Linked DNA regions of Drosophila melanogaster. The protein of the gene in region 1 interacts with the protein of each later gene in a pairwise test. Each region holds a gene or a part of one and is shown on either strand. Other genes may lie near its edges. The genes, in order: Dlg5, NaCP60E and corn.

What was found.
Region 2: the proteins of Dlg5 (region 1) and NaCP60E interact in a two-hybrid assay, tested with the Drosophila melanogaster proteins (one large-scale study listed by BioGRID).
Region 3: the proteins of Dlg5 (region 1) and corn interact in a two-hybrid assay, tested with the Drosophila melanogaster proteins (one large-scale study listed by BioGRID).

The regions. Positions count from the first base shown.
Region 1 is NT_033779.5:11,513,432-11,520,015, reverse strand, and holds the start of Dlg5 (discs large 5), read left to right. Parts: upstream 1-2,934; 5' UTR 2,935-3,150; exon of another isoform or gene 3,151-3,214; 5' UTR 3,215-3,293; exon of another isoform or gene 3,294-3,358; 5' UTR 3,359-3,507; intron 3,508-4,198; 5' UTR 4,199-4,235; coding exon 4,236-4,290; intron 4,291-4,342; coding exon 4,343-6,584. Other genes in the region: CG14929 (uncharacterized protein), read right to left, coding at 1-72; CG4970 (uncharacterized protein), read right to left, coding at 286-695, 748-844, 902-1,006, 1,064-2,524.
Region 2 is NT_033778.4:24,890,042-24,896,371, forward strand, and holds the start of NaCP60E (Na channel protein 60E), read left to right. Parts: upstream 1-1,572; 5' UTR 1,573-1,796; intron 1,797-2,242; 5' UTR 2,243-2,507; intron 2,508-4,042; 5' UTR 4,043-4,528; coding exon 4,529-4,565; intron 4,566-6,330. Other genes in the region: Ance-5, read right to left, coding at 1-870. UniProt on the Drosophila melanogaster protein: Mediates the voltage-dependent sodium ion permeability of excitable membranes. Plays a role in processing of olfactory information during the olfactory avoidance response.
Region 3 is NT_037436.4:7,153,315-7,159,892, reverse strand, and holds the start of corn (cornetto), read left to right. Parts: upstream 1-2,819; 5' UTR 2,820-3,957; intron 3,958-6,578. Other genes in the region: CG8620 (uncharacterized protein), read right to left, coding at 1,083-1,646.

The DNA.
Region 1 (6,584 bases):
CCAAATCCCCAGCTCTTGGGTTCCATACACCGCACCGGCCACCAGGGCCAAGCGGATGAGGAAGAAAGCCATCGATTTGATATGATTTTCAATAGAATTTTGAAATGCCCCAATAAATTAAAAACTTTAATTTTTATTGTTCAATTTTGACACGTCTGATTTGACTTATCTGGGTTATTTCATCGCTTATTTGTTACCTAACAAATTTAAAACGTAAATATAATATTTATTTAAGATTTGTTTGATTTATTTTTTGGCCAAGACCCCTGCATCTTACATACATACTTAATCCGACTTAGACATGATTTCACTCTTATTAGATTCCAGAATCTTTAGTTCGATCTTTTCGATTCTCTTCAGCAAATTGTCATGTTGTGTCTTTAGTTCCACAATACTCGCCTGTTTGATGGCAATAAACTTCTCGGTCCGATCAAAATCGGCCAACAACTTGGGATAGCACATAATGCCACCCTCACGACGGACTTCTTTGATCTGGTCAAGAAGTTTATTGTGTGTTAGATTACAATTATATACTTCATCGCGCAATGCTATTTGCCGTTTTTGCCTTTCTCGTAACTCATCTTTGGCCTCCCTGAACTTGCGATTCAGCAGCTTCCGTCGACATCGCAGATGGGAAATGGTATGGATTTTGGTTTTCACCAGCGTACACATGCGTTCCAGTTCAGCGTTTTTATCTGTAAATAAAATTAAAATAGATAGATACTTGTTACGTTTTATTTAACTCACTGTTTAGAGTGGTAACCATCTGCTGAACGTCGTTATCCGCGGACAGATAGGTTTCCAATTTGACTTCCCCAGAAATCGCCTCAATCTCATCGACTTTCTGTGGGTAAACCCTTTTTTTTAGTCAGCCAACTTATTTTTATTTTGTAATTTCGACCTTTTTAATGTAGGAATTGTCATGCTGCCTTATGATCAAAATCAGTCGTGTCGCAGACAACGCATCGCGTTTTGCTCTCATTTGTTTAAGAGCGGTTTCCGTTACCTAATTAAACAATAAAAGTGTTTTTGTTTAATTTTTAATCCGATTTTGAAGACTCACAAAGCGAAGGCGTTCAGACGGTTGGCTGTCCCGCAGTAATGTGCTTCTGAAGATCTCCTCCAGCCTCTCGATCTTCTCGTTGTCCTCTCGTTGCATCCGCTCCAATTCCGACAGCAGTCGTTCCTTTTCAGCCAGGTGCATCTGCTCAGCCTGTCGTGTCCTGTTAAGCCAATGATCCAATTCGTTTAGGGCACCCAAGTACCGACTCCGTTGGGATTCGTTGATGTAGGATCTGCTGCTCGGCGTTACGAGGGAGTACTTAAATCGACGCAGGTGGTGTTCCGTCAGTCGTTTGGTCAGTAAATTGTTGTCGTGGCTCACCCAGTGGTGATCCTCGACTTCCTTGAACAGGCGATTCATTAGCTTACTTTTGTCTAGATTTTTTGACCGCAAATAGTCTGTATTAACGAATATGTCCACAACTTTCTCAATAAGCCCATCCAGATAGCTTTGGACCATTTGACCGATGGAAAAAGTCGTAGGGATGGAATTGAGGCTAGATGTGGAGGACCTGGACTCAGATGTAATGTCCTTAAAAGTGGCCACATGACTCGATTTGAATTGCATTCCCTGCAATCTCCAATCGCTTTCGTCAACAGATTCTAGTCCTGAGGGCGATGGTATCTCCGTACCATGCACATCGTCATCGTTTTGCGAGGAAGGTGCTTCATAATTGGATTCGCTGGGAATGAGGCTTTCCATCGACGAGGACAACGACTTGCGGGCCAGTTGAATCTGTAACTGTTCTAGTTCCGAGCCCGGCACCTGCTGCATTTCCACACTCTTCTTATCGATGCCCAGATTGTGATCTGTAGTCCCGATATCACTAAGTTCATCCCAATCGGGAATGTTCCTGAGGGTTTGGAGGATATCAAAGCGCATCCTTATGTTCGAGTCGGAGGATACACTCATTTGGTCTTCGTGATCCGTGGTATTTCCCAATTCCGAGTCCATTTTATCGCCATCACTCTGATTGGTCGCCTCCTCCACGCTGTCCGTAGAACTAGTTAAGTGCGGATGTGAATGAACTATTTTAAGCTGAGTTTCCGCGCTGGCTTCGAGTTTCCTAAGCTTATATAAATGAAACGGCTGTTCTTCTATATAAGATAATTTCCTTTTAACTGCGCTACTTGACTTTTTCGATGGTAACGAGCTTATGGAGACCACCGATCTGCGAACATTCTGTTTGGGCATTCCTCGTTGGGAGGAAGGAATGGGTATGGGTACTGAAGTACTCCAGACACTTGGCGCGGTGGATGCGATACGCTCATCGGAATCCGTACTATGACTCGGGATGCTCATTATACTAGTTATGTGGCTTTCGCCGGAAGTTGCAACCTTCTTGGCGCTCGCATCGTTGACTACCTTTTTTCGATCTCTTTTGCCCTGCAAATTGACCAACTTCTTGGGTATTATTTTACTTTTAATGAATAAAAATTTTGCTCGCCCTGGCTTGGCCATTTTCCAAAAGGTTGTTAGTGCGTGCAACTTGCGCAAAGTGCAGCAGTTGCAAAAAGTATTAAAAATTACAAAGAACAAAATAAACAACAACGGTTTGAACTAAATATTGTGTAATAATATCATTATATTTGATTAAAATCTCCCAAGTTTTCTAATGGGTTTGGAACATTGCTAAGCGAAGACACTTCCAGCACGATTGCGCGCCAACTTAGCGTGTACACACTCCCACTTAGTACACATATACAGCGCTGCCAGCCGTTCGTAAAGAGGAGCGGCAGTTCCGATATAGAAGGAATGATCTTATATGTACATTTTACATTCGGGATTTATTTGTTTTTTAAGAAAGCTGGGCTAATGAATCGATATTAAACAATACTATCGATTTTAATATTGTCTAAAGAGACAGAGTGTATTATTTATCGGTCACTCCGCGGTCACACTGGTGACGTTTTAGTGAAGAAGTTGTGTTGTTTTTTTTTATTTCATTTCGTTCAATTTTCGTTGGCCATTCGTCATCGCTTTCGTCGCAGTGTTCTTCCAAGAGTGTCGTGCACCGTAGAGGTTGACTTTTCGCCCAACGATCCAAGAAACTCAACTTCCGGAATCCGGATGCGCGAGCGAAAACGGTAAAAGTCGTCGGTTGTCCCGTTCAACGTCCGCCTGTTGCATCTCTCCCTCTCTTTCCCGCAGGGCTGGAATTGGGGTGGAGCTCGTCCCCTCTCTTTCGCGCGCCCATTCAGCTGTTGCGTTCGCGTGCGTGTGTGTGAGTGTGCGTAATAAGATTTTCGATGTAAAGGAAAATACGCTATATTTTCCTATTTTTTGGACAAATAGGCGTGCTGCTGGGCCAAGATAAACTCCAATCAAGGAAAAAAAGGGTTTATATAACTCGCAGTGCTTTCCACCATTGTGTGTTCGCCAGCTTTTCTTCTCTTTCATTCGGCCAACTTGTTTTGCCCGCCTGCGAGTGTGTTGGTGTTTCGGTAAGTGTGTGTGTGTGTGCATACATGTTGCTATTAATTTACGCTTTCTGCTCGGCTGCTTCAATTAATTCTTTAGCTTAGTCTCGATGCTTTAACTCGACTGCTTAATTGCCACACATTTCATTTTCGCAAGCAATAGCCGTTTGTAAGAGTTACCAAAAACTGCGTAACTTCCCTTTTTTCTACACTTCGCCACCTATCCCCATTCTCCCTACTGCCTACCCACGCCCACTCCCGCCCATTTTCTCATTCCCCATTGCGGTTGTATTTAAATTCGATTCGTTCGATTGTGAAAATCGCGGTTTCACAAAAATTGTGAAAGTTTCGTTTTTCCAATGCCTTGCTTTTCATACTTACTCGCACACTTCAAAAAATACAGCAATGGTCAAAATAGTATTACTAGTAAAGTTAACAAAAAGTTACAGTTTATTTTAGATAAAAGGTTAAAAGGTAAAAGTTTGAATCCTCACCTTTGGATGTTTAAAAAAAAATTGTATAAACCAAAAATAAATTTTCTAAAAATTAATAAATAAACGGATAAGATGAACGAACTCCATATCAAAGAAAAAACCAAACCCCAATTGGAAAGCAGAATGCATTACGCTAAACAAATTAGTTAGACAGCCTGGAACCTCGCTTAACTTTAACTTTAGCACGAACCTAATTAATCTTTTGTACTTTTACTCATCAGCATACCCTTATGTTAAGTATTACCTAAAGATGCTGTGATGGCGAAGATGGCATCTGGAGATCTATCGCTGACTAGTACGAGTAGCCAGGAAGGTAAGACGCCGTATTCATTTAAAGTACCTACCCATAGCGTCTTTAATTTTAGAAGAGAGCTCGGAGTATGTGGGCTATGATAATACCCTACGACCGCCGTCCAATTCCAGCGGCAGCACCACAGCTGCCAACATGTCCAACAACAACGGGCCCTCGAAGGGCGTCAGTAGCGGTGTGGGCGTGTCGGGCATTTCTGGTGGAAACGGCGCAAATTACGATATACTGCAGGCGCAGTACAAGTCCGCACTTTTGGAGCTAAATACCCTACGCCACCAGCATGCGAACACCAAGAGGCGATGCGATGAGTTAGCCACCGAGTTAACTCTGTACCAGGAGCATTACGTGGCCGATCGTAACAAGTTCACCGATATGGTGGAGGAGAGCGCCCGTTTCAAGCGTCTGCTATTGGAGACCCAAAACCAACAGAGCCAGCAGGCCCAGAATGGAAATAGCCAAGTGCCGCCAGTCGGCAGTGGGAATCCTTATTATTTTGGCAAGACGCAGGGATGCGATGGAAGCTGCAGTGAGAAGCTGGCCGAACTGAAGAAAGAGCGAAATATGGTCGCCGTGGAGAGGGAGAAGTACAAGAAGTCCTACATCGAGCTTGAAAAGGATCGCAACTACTACCGGGAGCGAGGCGATGAAAATCAGAAACTGAAGGTTCTTCTCTCCCAGGAGAGTAAGAATGTGCTTTCCCTTACCGAGGAGCTTAATCAACTGCTCTCAGAGAAGGACAACGTGCTGCAGGAGCACCAGAAGATGTCCGACGATCTGGTTCTGGCCAACAAAGAAATTGAGAGGCTCAAAAAGGACGAACAGCTTGCCAGGGCTGAAATCAAGGTTCTACAGCTGGCCAATGCGGACCTTAAAAAGCGCGATCTTCTAAAGTCTCGCGATAGCTCGTGGTCCAAAGAATTTCCGAGTGGAAAGGAGCTGGAGAACAGCAAGGAACTGGAAAAGCTGCGCAAGAGCTTAGAAAAGGCCCTCTCGGAGGTGGAGCGTTCAAGCCAGGATGCCGAAGAAGCGAAGCGCGTAAGGGATTGGGCCATATCGCAACGTGAGAAGATCGTGCAGGAGCGGGATTCGGTGAAGACGCTCTGTGATAAAATGCGCCACGAGAGAGATAAAGCCATCTCCGACTCGCTGATGGCCATCCGGGATAGCGAAAAGATTAAAAAGCAGAAGGACGAAGCGCAGAAAAAGATCGACTTGTTGAAAGAACAAATGGAGCAGCAAGAGCGCCAAAATCTTGACAGTAACGCCTCCGGATCCCGACGCAGTTTCCGCCCAAGCAGTTACGAAGGTGAGGATCTCCTGGAAGTAGAGCTGTCCGGCTACGAGCACACGTCCGACCTGGGCATCATCCTGGATGACAGCAACAAGCGAAAATTAGTGTGTGGCGTTACCAGCAGTTCCCCCGCCTGCGGGAAGCTCAAGATTAACGATGTGATCTGCAAGGTGAACAACTTGGACTGCCAGTCTTTGTCGAAACGGATGGTTCTTGATGAGATCCGCGCCTGTGCTCCTCGTTCCCTCCTGCTCGTTTCCCGAACTCGTCACAGCAAACGGCACGCCTATTCTGTTCAGCTAAAGACTAGGGATAGGGATTGCCCGCATGGCCTGCAACTGGACATGGGAGTGTTCATTGCAAAGATCGAGCAAAATTCGCTAGCCTTCTACGAACCAGAGCTGGACGTTGGCGACCGAGTGTTAAGCATTAACAACAAGTCTATGGACTCAGTGCAGTCAATCGAGGAAGTGATGCAGTTGATGAATGATCCCCGAAGCGATGGGCTCAATCTGTTTGCCCTTAAATACGTACAGGATCAGTTACCCCCGGGAATGACCACCTCGTCGGCGCAGACAGATTCCATTGACTCCATGCAGCATGTCTCAAGTGCCGGGGGAGGTGGAGGAAGTGGGCCCAGTAGCGCCACCAAACATCCGTCCAGGTTCGCGGAATTTTTCTTCCGAAAGCTTAAGTTCAGCAAACCAGGCACACCAGAGGATAACTTTGAGCAGGAGCACGACGACGCCATCGCTGCTTTGGATTCTGTGCTCAGTGAAAACAGCTCTGAGAAGAGCAAGGAGAATCTGTTCAACCGCAAGAAGCGGACCAAGAAGGAGAAAGAGGCCTCCAAGAGCATGGGTACCTGGCCGCGGACCAACATCTCGCATGAAAACCCAACGGGCACCATGCGCGGCAATGAGAAGAAGCGTGCTCTGATGTCGCTTTTTACAGCCGGTCCCATAAATGTGGACAAGGATGACGAGCTGATGGGCGAGGTTGGAGT
Region 2 (6,330 bases), on another chromosome or scaffold:
GCCCTGGTGCGGTGTGCGAAAGAACTGGTGAGGATACCAGTCCTGCGACAGGATCTGGTCCATAATGGGAGCGGAGATGGCGCCATCGCTCTTTGTGTCCGCCTTTGGGTAGGCAGCTTGCACCTCGCGACGCAAATAGGCGTGCAGTTCTCGATATAGCGGCATTATCTCCCACACGACCGCCTCCATTTCAGCTTGAAAGTTCTCCGTGTCGTAGTTAAGGTACCACGTGCGCGAGGGCGTCACATGCCCGTTGTAAGTGGCAGCGATCCGGAGAAGCCTAACGTAGCCGATGAACGTGTTCTTGGCCACGTCCTTCTCGTTAATGGCCCTGCGCCAGGCCTTCCAGTTGATGACCAGATCCTCGTATAGCTTGGTGTGCATGTTTTTGTTCATGATCTGCGGGTACATGGCCAGCGAACCACGGGCGGAGCAGTCCTCGTAAGGGCAGACCAGGGGTCCGTTGACAAAGTTATGGATCTGACGTAGAAGGTCCTTGGCCTGCTCGTAGTCCTTTGGCCGCAGTCCCTGCAGCTGCAACTTGGCCATTCGCTGCACGCGCCTACGAAGAAGTGGGTCATTCAATTCAGCCACTGACACAACGCTGAGATTGCCCGCTAAGTCGTAAAATAGTCGATAGGTCTCCGCCTCTACCTCCAGCTTGGAGTTGAGAACCTGTCCGCCCAGAGGTGACTTTCCTTTGGCCGTGAGCTGCACAAAGATCCTGCGGTTCAGACTCCACACGTGGCGCATGCGGTCTTTGGCTCTATCAAGTATCTGCTTGGTAGCCAGTTCATAGCTGGACTGGCCGATTCCGAAGGTCACGGAGAGCAGAAGGATTAGCGATACTCCTAAAAAAGGCAACCGCATTTTGCCTTCGCTGGCTTCCGTTTCGCCTTGATAAGGTTATCGGAGTGCTTTCGAATGCGACTTGGGATTTGCTTCCGACTCTGACGAAAGCTCGAGCAGAACTGAGTCCAGACTGCCAGTCGAGCCGCAGGCTTATCAATCTAAGTCCGGGGCATTGAGCTTATCTGTAATTGGGAAAGAAACCCAGCTAGCGATCTCTCCAAGCAAACGTTGCGTATACGTTACGAGCTTGGCATTATTTATACGCTGAGTGTGCCAGCCCGAGGCGGAAATCGCAGTGGGCACGGCGGGGAAGACATCCTTACACCATAATAGACTGATTAACAGCTGCTGGTTTTGTTAGCCAGTGGCCCATATTCAAGCAAAATCATTTTGACATATTCCTTCCGAAGAAGAGACAGCGGAGGTAGTCCTTTGCCCCGCGGTGCACCAGCGGAGCATTCGGAATTTAAATCGGAGAAATATGGGGAAGTTCGTCGTTCGTGTTGCATGTGGCACGGCATTTGTTTATGCCGGCTGACCTACAAGCAAACGTGAGGGCGCAGGGGGACTCTGCTCACGAAGGCGAGCGTGAGAGCATTTCCCGCACGAGTCCTTTTCGAGAGAATAGGGGGAAGTTCGCGTGTGTATTTTTTCATCGCTCTGCATCGTGGTCGCCCTGCAGATTACGTCAAACGGAAAGGAAACCCGTTAGCCGAGCTCAGTCTCCGACAAACCTTAGAACCGAGCAGTCGCCATGCAAGCGCACGTATTTACAGTGGCCCAGTGTCATAGTGTCCTAGTATGAAGTGAAAAAATCAAGGAATATGGTGAAAAGTGAAAAGTGAAAGGCAGTAAAAAGCCTGAAAGGGCATGGAACATAGCGCGGAACTCGCACCCCTACAGCCGCACAGTGAAGCGCGTTACCATCACAAGTGCATTATTCGGTGCGATGAAAATTCTTCAGCGCCCAAAAATAGAGTGAAATGTGTGCTGCATATTGTTGTTGCTGCTACTGAGTTGCTTAAGGGAGGGGGAGAGGCCACGACGGAAACTAACCTACATTTTCGCGCTCTTTCGCACGCTTTTGCTGACACACACACAGGCACACGTGCGGTGCCAGAGAGGCCACCGTGCTATCTCTTTCGCACTCACCCTTTGGGCCGCGAAAGAAATCAACAGTAAATTGTAATAACACTTCTTAGACTGCCAGTAGGCTTTTGCATGTGTGTGTGTGCGTGTGTCAAACAATGTGCGTGCCCGAAGTTTTTTGCTTTGTTCTGTTTTTGTTGCTGGTTCCGTTTCAACATCCCCACCCACTCACAGTCACATTGTTGCACAGTTGCGACTAAATAAAAATGTAATTAATGTAAAATAAAATCAAATAAAACAGCAGCAGGAGAAAAAACAACTGGATCGGGAATGGTGATTGAGCCAGTGTTGGGAAGTCGATGTTAAAGTGCGAGTGAAGGCGAACGTGTGCAAATGTGCTTTGTGTTCGTGTGTTGCAGGCCCAAGAAAGTAAAATACGAAAATAGAAATAGAAATTGCCGGAGTGCAAACACACAAGCGATTACATAAAGCCCAACTAGCATCCCCAACATCCGACAACTGCAACCAGCGGAGAATAAAAAAAAATTGATGGCCAATGCTTAAAGGTAAAATCGGATATTCATACGCGTGTGCGTGTGTTAGTGTTTGGGGGGAAGTTTGGGTTCCAACGCAACAGCAATGTCCTGGTCATAAATTAGCCCTTGATGTGCACTTAACTAGGTGGCCACACTTTCTCTTCGTTTCGAAGCGCTTCGTTCTGTTCGCACGAAGGAGAGAGCTAAAATGGCGGAAGGGGACCGATAACAAAATTCGTAGCACAACTTTAGGGGCCAACTGGCAAAGCTCTGCCAGCCGCACTTTTATGAGCCAACTTTAAAACCAACCGCTGGTCACGCCCAGAAAGCAGAAACCAGAAACAGAAGCGAGTATCCCCGCCCCAAAGAGAAAGACCCCACCGAACAATTGAAAGCCAACAACACACTGCTTAATGCCTCGAGCGCCGCTCTCATTGTTGTAATAAAAGTGTTTTTGCCGATTTGTGTGTGTCTGGGACAGACCAGCAAATGCAGGTGGATCTCCAATGGCACACGACAGCCCAGCCTCCAGGCGTAATGGCACATCCCTGCCACTGCCAGCGAATTTCCGCCAGCAAACATCACATCAACTGCCATAACGGGGTGTTGGAAACTTAATATTGAATATTTTATGGGCGCCTTCATCTACCGCTTTTCCATTTTTGCTGCCAGTTGCGAGTTGCCAGTTGCTCGCAGACGTGTCAAGAAGTTTGCGAGAAACACAACAGGAAGCGCCGGCCTACACAAGCACCTACACACCCATACACATGCCCATATATGCACAACAATGCCGGGAGCAGCATCAACAAAGCGCTGAGCAATGAGCAGCCCCCGACCCACGCCACAGCCTACGCAAGCTCATTGCTTTTTCGTTGGGCGCCATTTATCAATTCTTGTATCTTACTTGTGTTGTGTGCGTCTGTGGAGAAGATGCTAGATTGTGTGTATGGGTGTGCCCATAATGTTAATTAACTTTATCTCGCTCAAGCTTTAAGTCTTGAAGCGGCACTCATTTCCCGGCCCTCGCCACAATTCGCATTCTTCCCCTTCAGGTGCTTATCTCTTCCGTTACGCACATAACACATACGTTGGCCGAGTGAGTCGTTACGTTGCGTATACGTACTGCACTGGCAGAAAGGTTTTTCTCAGTCTTGAGGAAGTCCCCATTGAGTGCTGACTGCTATCTTTGTTTCACGGAACCAAATCCGTACATTTGTTCCTCTTTTCGATTGTCTTGTATTAATTCACAGTATAGTAGTAGTAGTGAAATAAAAAGGCTTGGTATTTGAAAAAAATTGGCAGAATGAAGAGAAATTATAATCGTATGTGTTCAAAGGACACCTTTTTTTTATTTTAAGGTCATCAATCTGAAGATTTTTTCTGAGTGTGAGCCGCGTGCCTTGGTTCGGGTGCTTTGAGCTGTAGGGGATTAGCGCGCTGCCAATTAACGTTACATGACACGACGCAGAGCAATTGCGGGCAGAGGCGATTTAATTTACTCTCATTCCCCCTACTTGCATAAGCTTAAATCTTTCCACTTACATCAATCTCTTTCTCTCGTTTAGAAAACATACGCATCGCATCGCAAAATGTAAAGCAATAATCAGCACAACAAAGCCAAAGCTCACAATAGAAGTAGACGACCAGGCTGAGCAACTGAGCTGGGACGATGCCAAATGCCATTATTGGAAACGGTCGTAGTCATAAGATTTGCATAGTATAGCAATAGCAGCAGACATCATGAAAGCCCCAAGCGTGATAAGCACAGCAACAATAGCAACAGCAATAGTAGATACTAGGCACAACATGGTTAACAAAGGGAACGGTGACAATATAATCGGTAAACTGAGCGATCGACTCGCTTGAATAGTGAGATAGACATATGCCCAGTGTTCGAAAATCGAGTGAGAAGCCTGGCAAAAGAGAGCGCGACCAAGGCATGCAGCTGCCCTAAGGACCTCGCCCAGGACGACGACGACGACGGAGTCGAAGGACCAAGAAGCAACCGCAACCAGAGGCAGCACCCAACAAAACGACGACAATCAGTCAAGATGAGTGATGATCAAGCGACGTTCAACGATGAGAAAGGTGAGTCCCCTAACCGCTAAGCCCTCCTGATACTGCTATTGATAGTTTTCTAAGCCACCCGGCCTCATAAATATTATTCCCGATGTGACCAGGGGGGAGTTGGGTAACCGGGAGGCCATCAAATCTGTATGCGGGAGTATGCATGGTCAGGGGGCAGGTGTCACAGGGCAGGACTTCTGCTCCTTCTCCTTCCTCAATCAGGTCCTCCGACATCCTGACAGCGACACCTGCACGCCAACCAAAAGAAAGACGTGCACAGTGGTTCTGCACACACAGAAGTCTTTTGACTGGAGTTGCACGACTTCTTTCCATAGAGAGCAAGTTTGTTTTATTTTTTACAATTTTATTAATTTCTCGGCCTATTTAAGTTCACTTCTGCATATTTTTATCCCTGAAACCAACAATTGGCTTAAGAATAAACTAGCAGGTCAAGTTATGAGCTCAAAGATTGACATTCTTCAACAGCCACCCACAGTGCCATATAAAAGGCAGTTGGGGTGGGGGGACCAAAGGCATTTCCTTTTTGTGCGTGTTGAGCGTTTTCCTGCCACTTCCCGAACTCCTGTCCTGCTGTCCGGTCCTGCTCATCAACATAATTAAATAGCATTGCTCATTGTGTGCCGGTTGTGCCTTGGATACGGGGCATGTGCTTGGGTCTGGGGCACTTGGGTCCTGTGTCCTGGGTCTTGGCCAATAAAACGAAAATGGAATCGAACCAGCTTAATGGCGGGGCAGAGTGACCCTAAGGCCGTTTAAATAAATGATAAACAAATCGAAAATGGGAAGCGCTTTTGTCGGACCGAAAAGTTTCGGCTGATGACTGGCCATAAGTTACGCAATCGTTTTTGCAGGCGCCGATAGAGAGCGCCATTTGTCCTTACAGCAGGAGTGAGTGGGTGGGCCTTGGGTTGATAAGTGGGCGCAGGGCGCCATTGTCAGCGGAGTATATTCACTGGGGAGGTGAACAATGCACAAAGGCCAGCAGGCGCTGCCATCTGCGGATTACGAATATGAACGGAAACGGAAACTAATTAAATATGTAGAGCAATTGTTGCTGCATCTCGCTTTATCCTACCGATTCACTTTTTCACTTTTGTTTGTCCCGCATCACTGCAGCCAGTGTTTCGGTTTCTCCTTCGGCTCGGCTTGGGCTGGGGCTTGGACCGACCACCTTCCTTTCCGCCTTGCCAGTCTCGAATTGGATTTGGTTTTTGGCCAGGGCCAGGAAGCAGTCGAGAGCAAGCGCCCCAACTGCGAGGGGCGTAATTGCCCTACCCCCTAAGCCTCCGCTCCGAGTCCAAATCCCAATCCCATTTCAATTTCCATTCCCATTCCCGTCACCATTGAACTTGCTCAAAGGTCTGCGCAGCTGCAACTGCAACAGAGGCAGCAATGCCAGTTGCAACTGCAACAATGGCTGCACTTTAAACAACAAACTTTGAAAGTTAAACCAGGAAATCCGAAGCAAAGCATGCAGTACATAAGGAGTATCAAGAGAGCACCATAATATAGCAGAAAATCGAATTGACTTTTTCAAGACTTTCCCCACAATTCTAAAACTGTTGCCCACAATCTCGTGAATCACTTGTAGCACACCTTTTTCTCTCTGTGTGTGGATGCAACTGGTTTTTTGGGAAAACCACGACATTGCACGTCGCTAGTTGCTTTTAGTTTCTGTATCGGTGTGCAATTTCCTTTTTGTTTTTGGGCGCTTTGAGAATGACTTTGCTTCCGCGTGAAGATGCGACGGCAGGTCTGGAGTTTC
Region 3 (6,578 bases), on another chromosome or scaffold:
AGCTGTATTTTAACTAGCCTAAAAAAGCATAAGGAAACCAATTAAACAGTCAAATAAAATCGATGAGGATTAGAAGGAGGATCAGAGGGACGAATTGAACCCATTTCGGAAACCATGTGCCAAAATTTGTTTTTAGACAAAGCTCTCTTAAATTACGGATATACAATAAATAATGCAAGCCATGAAAAGCGAGTAAATAGCAGCCACTAAATATGAACATACCAATTAGAGCCACAGAAATCACAAAATAAAGTCGCAGATTAAGGTGTTCACTTGGGTAAAATTTATTCCAACCCGAGCCAGACAGCATAATTCTTTAGTGTCTCATTTGAAATAAAAGCAAAAAACAAAATCGAAAATTTACGAGCCAGCAGCACTCTTTGTTTATATAGCGATTAACGCGATTTTAGTCGGTTTTTATATGCATTTATTTGTACGAAGCAATGAAATGGTTTATTACATTTAACATCGAATTTTACGAATTTATTAAGAACAACAGAAAAGTTGCGACTGCAAGGAGCAAACTCACAGCAAAGTCTACAAATCAAAAGATGAAATTAACTTAATAGATCACAATCAAAACGAGAACAAACCGAGTAATTATACGAGAGGGAGAAACAATTTTTATGTTTAACATATAATTAGCACAACAACTACAAAATAAAAACTATTAATGTAAAAACAAACGGCATTTAAAAAATATAAGAAATATTTAAAAATAACAAACGATTGTTTATTTGTTAATCGGCTGATGGAGGTAAGATAAAAACTTCTTTTTACAGTTCCAAAACTTTGAACTTTATTTTCTCAGAAAAATGGTTCAAATATTTCACAACTTTGGTAAATATGAATGCTAAATTAAATCAGCATTTCATCAACGAATGTAACTTATTATCTTGAATACCTGAACAGTATGTATTATTTGCACCCAAAATAAAGATAAGCCCACCCTCCATTAAAAAGAATTCATTTGAATATTTTTTTCATATTTTATATATTTTATTATTTTTTTTTTTTTGGTTTTTTTATGCGCACTTAATATATAAAATGAATATTGAATAATACTGAATGAAGCCAGATACTCACACTGAAATCCGAACGGGCAGAGCCAGGGGTAGTGCTCGAGATCGTCGGGAATCGGTGTAGGACCTGGAACGAGAACGCCCATGAGAACGACCACGCGAGTGACCACGGGAGCGACCGCGAGACCGGGAACGATCCCGCTTGCGGTCATCTCGCGTGTGTCTTCTCCGCGGCATGTGCCCCTCCTTCTCCGCCAGGATCAGCTCGCAGTCACTGTGGTCGGAACTGGAACTGGAAGATGAGCTAGTGTGATGACTATGACTATGATGTTTGCGTCCTCTGTGTCGTCGTTTACCTCCATCGGAGCTGCGGTGCTTGGACTTGGTCTCCTTGATGGAGAGTTGAGATTCCTGCTGCTGCTGCTTCTGGATCTGTTTCATCACATCGTTCAGCATTTTCTGGGCCATGTTGGCCTTTCGAATGAGACGCTCCATCGACGGCAAGGCCATGTCCTCGACTTCCACGGGCGTGGCATTTGGCAATTGGCCGCGGCATCCTTGACATGCATCCGGCCCTGCATTTGCCGCAGTTTGCTCACGTGCCACGTTATCGGATTGCGACATTTTTGCACTAGTTTACAACTGACCCGATAAGAAATTCACTCAACACTTTAATTACTGATTAACTACTGTTTCTCTGAACTGGATATAACTGCTGCGGAATCTGTTGCTTATGTTTCGACTGCTTCACTTGAACACTTGAATTTGACTGGCTTCTGCGGCATTCGGTCGATGAGCTTTTATAGGCAACTTTGGCGCCAAGCTAATCGCGACTTTCGGACTGTAAACATTTGCCTTTCTTTATCAGTCACATACTCATACAAACCACACGATAAATGTGACGTCATCTGAGCTATTTTTAACCAAATCGCATTCATGGGTTTTTGGGAAATTACTTCCATTGATCACGTGTTTTTAATGTTACATAATTTCATTGCCGAACGTAACCTCAAACATATTTCATATTTTTGCGAAATTCTTCTTACTTTTGTATTTCTGCATATTATATGCATTATAAATATTCTGCGTATTTTTATAAGCATACCTTTTATTATTTTTTACGATTTTGTGAAATATGACATTATTTTGATATAATTTTAATTTTGAATTTCGTCCAAGTGTGTAATTTTAAAACAATTATTTTATCGTTTTAAATCATCGAAAATTTTAAGAATATAAAGTATTAAGAAATTTACACAATTTTTTGAAAATGTTTTGGGATCTTAATAATTGCATAAATCAGGTTTAGCACATTATTTTAGAAATACTAAACGGTTAAATATTTTACAGAACTGCTATTTAATTTTAAGGTATAAGACTACGTATAAGACATTACCGCTTGAGACTAGTATTTTTATTGTGGTATTTTCATGATTGCTTTTGAATTGTGCCCGCCAAAATATGCAGTCTTAACCACAAGCGGTTAAAATCATTCCTTACGTTTACTTATATTTAAAAATCGACAAAAGGTATAATAATTCAAAACTATTAAAAAATTTTAAATAAAACTAAACGAGTCTAAGTTTTCTTAATCAAAATAGCTGTTAATATGGATAAGATATATTTGGCGCATCCAATAGATACATTTAACCGCTGAAGAGAATTAACAGTGTGATACGCCAGACTGTTAACAGACTGTTAAAACGCGATTTCCCGGCTTTGGTATTTTTACATTACCATCATTTGGTTTCTCTGATATTTTAAAAATCTATATAAGCAGCTCGCAACGCATTCTCTCTGTAATTTTTCGGGAGAGCGCAGCAGCGCGCGCTGTTTTTTCGGTTACCATTAAAAAATATTATTAAAGAAACATCGTTATAACTTTAATGCCAACGGAGTTGCGGCAATTGAAACTGATTTTTTAAGCAAACGAACAATAAATTCGACGTGGAGTGTGCTTCTGCTCGCCTACATGAAGTAATAGCGATGTATATTATGATTTAGTAAATATAAATCGATTTAATTAATATTTAAACTTGTTGTTTTCCGCGAGTGGGCGCGTTTTGTTACCAAGCCGCTATACGATTTTCGTTTTTCCGACTTTCCTGCGCGCCGAACGGGTTTTTCAACGAAGCCTTGCTGTCTTTTTCCTCGTAAGCAGCAAAAACAAGGCTGAAAAACTAAATTAAAGCGACTCGCTTCAGCTGCAGATTAATCGATGTGCGGCTATAGACTTTTAATTCGCAGATTCATCATCGATTTTTCCTTTGGGCTCAGCTGCAGTGCGCTAGTGTACGTGTATGTGCGTGTGTGTGAGTTGGTCCTGACAATACAAATAAGCCGTTGTGTTAGGTAAACGGAACAACAAAAGGAAGTGAACCAGAGAGAGAAAGAGAGAGAGGAAACGGCAGGACGATACCGAGTCCTTGAGCGATCATTCATGCTCTTCTTCTTCTCCAGCTGCAGCTGTCACGAAATTTCGCGCGTGCACGTGTATGTGTGTGTGTGGGAGACAGGGAGAACGCCGAAGTTAGTAATTTCTCTCCACTTCTCAGTGTTTGTGCATTCAATTTGCACAAAATTGAAGCGACGCGCTAAATTCGCAAATTTCCGTCCGCGAATTGCCATCCATTATTTTGCACTCCCCCCCAAGAGAGCGAGAGCAATAATAGAATTATCAGGCAAAGCAAAAAAAAAAATCAAAACTCAAGCGAAAAGAGAATGCCCTGGGAGGCCGTAATACCAATACCGCGACCCTCTGACATTTCCATCGTCGCCCACCAAAGGAACAACAACTGAGCGACAAAGACAGCAACAATCCGACAAACAAACAAACAAAACAGCAAACGAGCGAATCAACGAACGAAACTCCAGCAGCAGCCTCAACCTCCTCAACCGCTGGCACAGTTTTCCTCCTTCAACTCCAGCTCCGTGGGTGAGTAGCTACAGTGGAACGCCACTAAGTAGAACATTCTGCGAGTTCTAAGTTAAATTGCAGAGAATATCGCTTTGAGCACAAACTGATTAGAAATTGCCTTCACTTGGTCTTAGAAAGTTTACTAATACCAACTGATACATCGTTTTTTTGTTTGTTAATGTCAGTTTTAAATTGAAATCGATTAACAAATCTTAATGTCCTTTTTATATTTTTTTATAATGGATGTGGGATATGGGGGAAAGGCAAATGGCTCTTACGTGTAAAATTTTATAGTTTTTCCATAGCATTTAAGTACAATTAATTTTCTTTACGAAGAAAATGAAAGTTTTGCTTATGTAACAAGCCAAATTTAAGCAAATATTTTGTTTTTTGTATCAGGATAAAAGTTAAGCTTACCCAATCTCCACTGTAACTCATTGGCGGGTAGAAAGTGGTTATCGAATATGAGCTGCGTCTTATGTTGAAGCCACATCGTCGTGTGGGCGAGAGGGTGGTTGTGGTGGGTCAGAGGTGTGTTGGCGTCGTGCGGCTTTGGTTTTTAGCTGAAATTAAAAAGGTCAGGACCGCCGGACTGAGGGGCTTCCGGATTTTGTATCCTAGCCACGTAGTCCGCTTCATTATGCAGCGTTAACTTTGTATGTAAAAGCGTATATACGTATGTACATATGTACATACATATATGGATGTGGCAAGCGGTGAATATAATTTCAGTTGCATGACTTCGGCGATAATCGATTTTGAAGCGACGAAGCAATCAGGAAGAGTGCAATTTAATGTCAGTCCGTCACTCAGTCAGTCAAACAGTCACAACTTGACACACTGCAAAAAGTTATGCTGCAAAATGGAGGTCAGCATGACGTTTTTGCATTAAAGATACAAAGGGAAATGTAGCAAAAACCAAACTTTTTGCTTAAAAAGTTTGGTAATACTTAATGTTTGCATGGATTTAGGCAAGCAATTGCGTTTTAAGTTTACTTAGAAAAGTATATACATTTGTCAAGTAAATAGTATCAATGTGCTCAATCGATTCCCATTTCCTTGAATTAATAATTGGTATATGCTACCATTTTTCCGGCCTGCTTAAATGGCGTTTACCATATTCATAAGCGCCCCGGTTGATGGAGCAGCGGACATGTTAGCCGTTACTCCATAATGCGACAACTTGGCGACTTGAAGTGGGGGATGTCGTAATGGAGAGTGAGCTGAGGAAATCGCTAATTAAGCATCAATTAGTGCAGTTTCCGGTGCAAGAGCCGCTAGAAGCAAGCAAGCCACCGTTCTTGTACTTTCCACTCGTCGAACAAATCGTGTGACACATTTCGCTTTCCCACACACCAATTGGCGATAGGAGTTATCAGCACTTTTCAGCTTTAGCACTTCTTACCACTTTGGCTGGCCTGCCCCCTATCCCAAAAGATAATAACACATTGCATTTTCAATGTGTTTCCCCTGATATACATATACAAATGTGCCCGATTAGCGGGTATCTCAATAACAATGGCCGTAATTTATGATAAACAAGTTTTTGAAGTGTGCGAAATTTAGCAGCTCACTGATTTGAGCCTGTTTTTGGCGACACACCACACTCCGCTTGGTACCCCTTGTTCAAATGTTGCATTGTTTATAATCAGTAACGGACTCATAAGCGAACACATGTCTGGGTTGGTTTTCAAGGTCAGTTGAATGGCCAGATTCGCCTCGTTTGTGATTTGGCAACCCCATGGAAACACGATAAACGAGGGCAAACAGAGCTGAATTCAAGCTGCAGCCTCATCATCTCGTCTTTCTCCAGACAATGGCCATTCGGCTATACCATTTCAGAGGTTTATGCCTTGAGAGAACGCTTCTGGAGACGAAAACCCGGCCTGGACTGGAACCTTGCCAAGACACACTCGAGACGCGCGTTGACAATGAGCGAGGCTCTCAGGCGAGACTTTCAGGCGTCTCCAGATGCTTTCCATTCCATTCGCTTTGTCTGTGCCGCTTTCGGCGTTGCATGCACTGCGAGAAAAAATTGAATTTGTATGGGTGTTCTATTCTAATGGTTTGGTTGTATGTATATCTACAGTTCACTTTTCTTATATCGAAAATACAGACACTTATCTACAGTGAGAGTATATTGTTATCATATCAAAGTAATTAAAAGTCTAAAAATATATTGAAAGTCATTACTTAGCCATATATATCGATTTGAGTTTAGCATTACTGAGAATTACGTTGATAAGGCATACATTTTTTGCGGTGTGCTTTCATGGCTTTGGCTCGGCTTTATGGATTGCCTCCAGTCAAGCTCAACTCTGAGCGTTGCTGGTCAATGGTCAAGACCGCCCCGCCCCTCTTCCACCCCCTTTAGGCCACTTTTGGCAGCGGAGTGTCGTGTGGCGCATGCCGCTGAAAAACTTTGCAGAGCGTGAAGTACACCACTCATTGTTTCTACTCGCATTGGTATGAAAACTATGTGTATTATGGCATGTCGTAAAGAGCCATTTTCTTTGATACCCAAACTGTTAAAAGACCAACGAAGACCAGCCATAGGCCATAGTATCCGAACGCCGCGTTGGAGATCAGGCCGCAATCTCTACTTTCTCCGCCATATGACAAATAATTTTAGTAGTTGG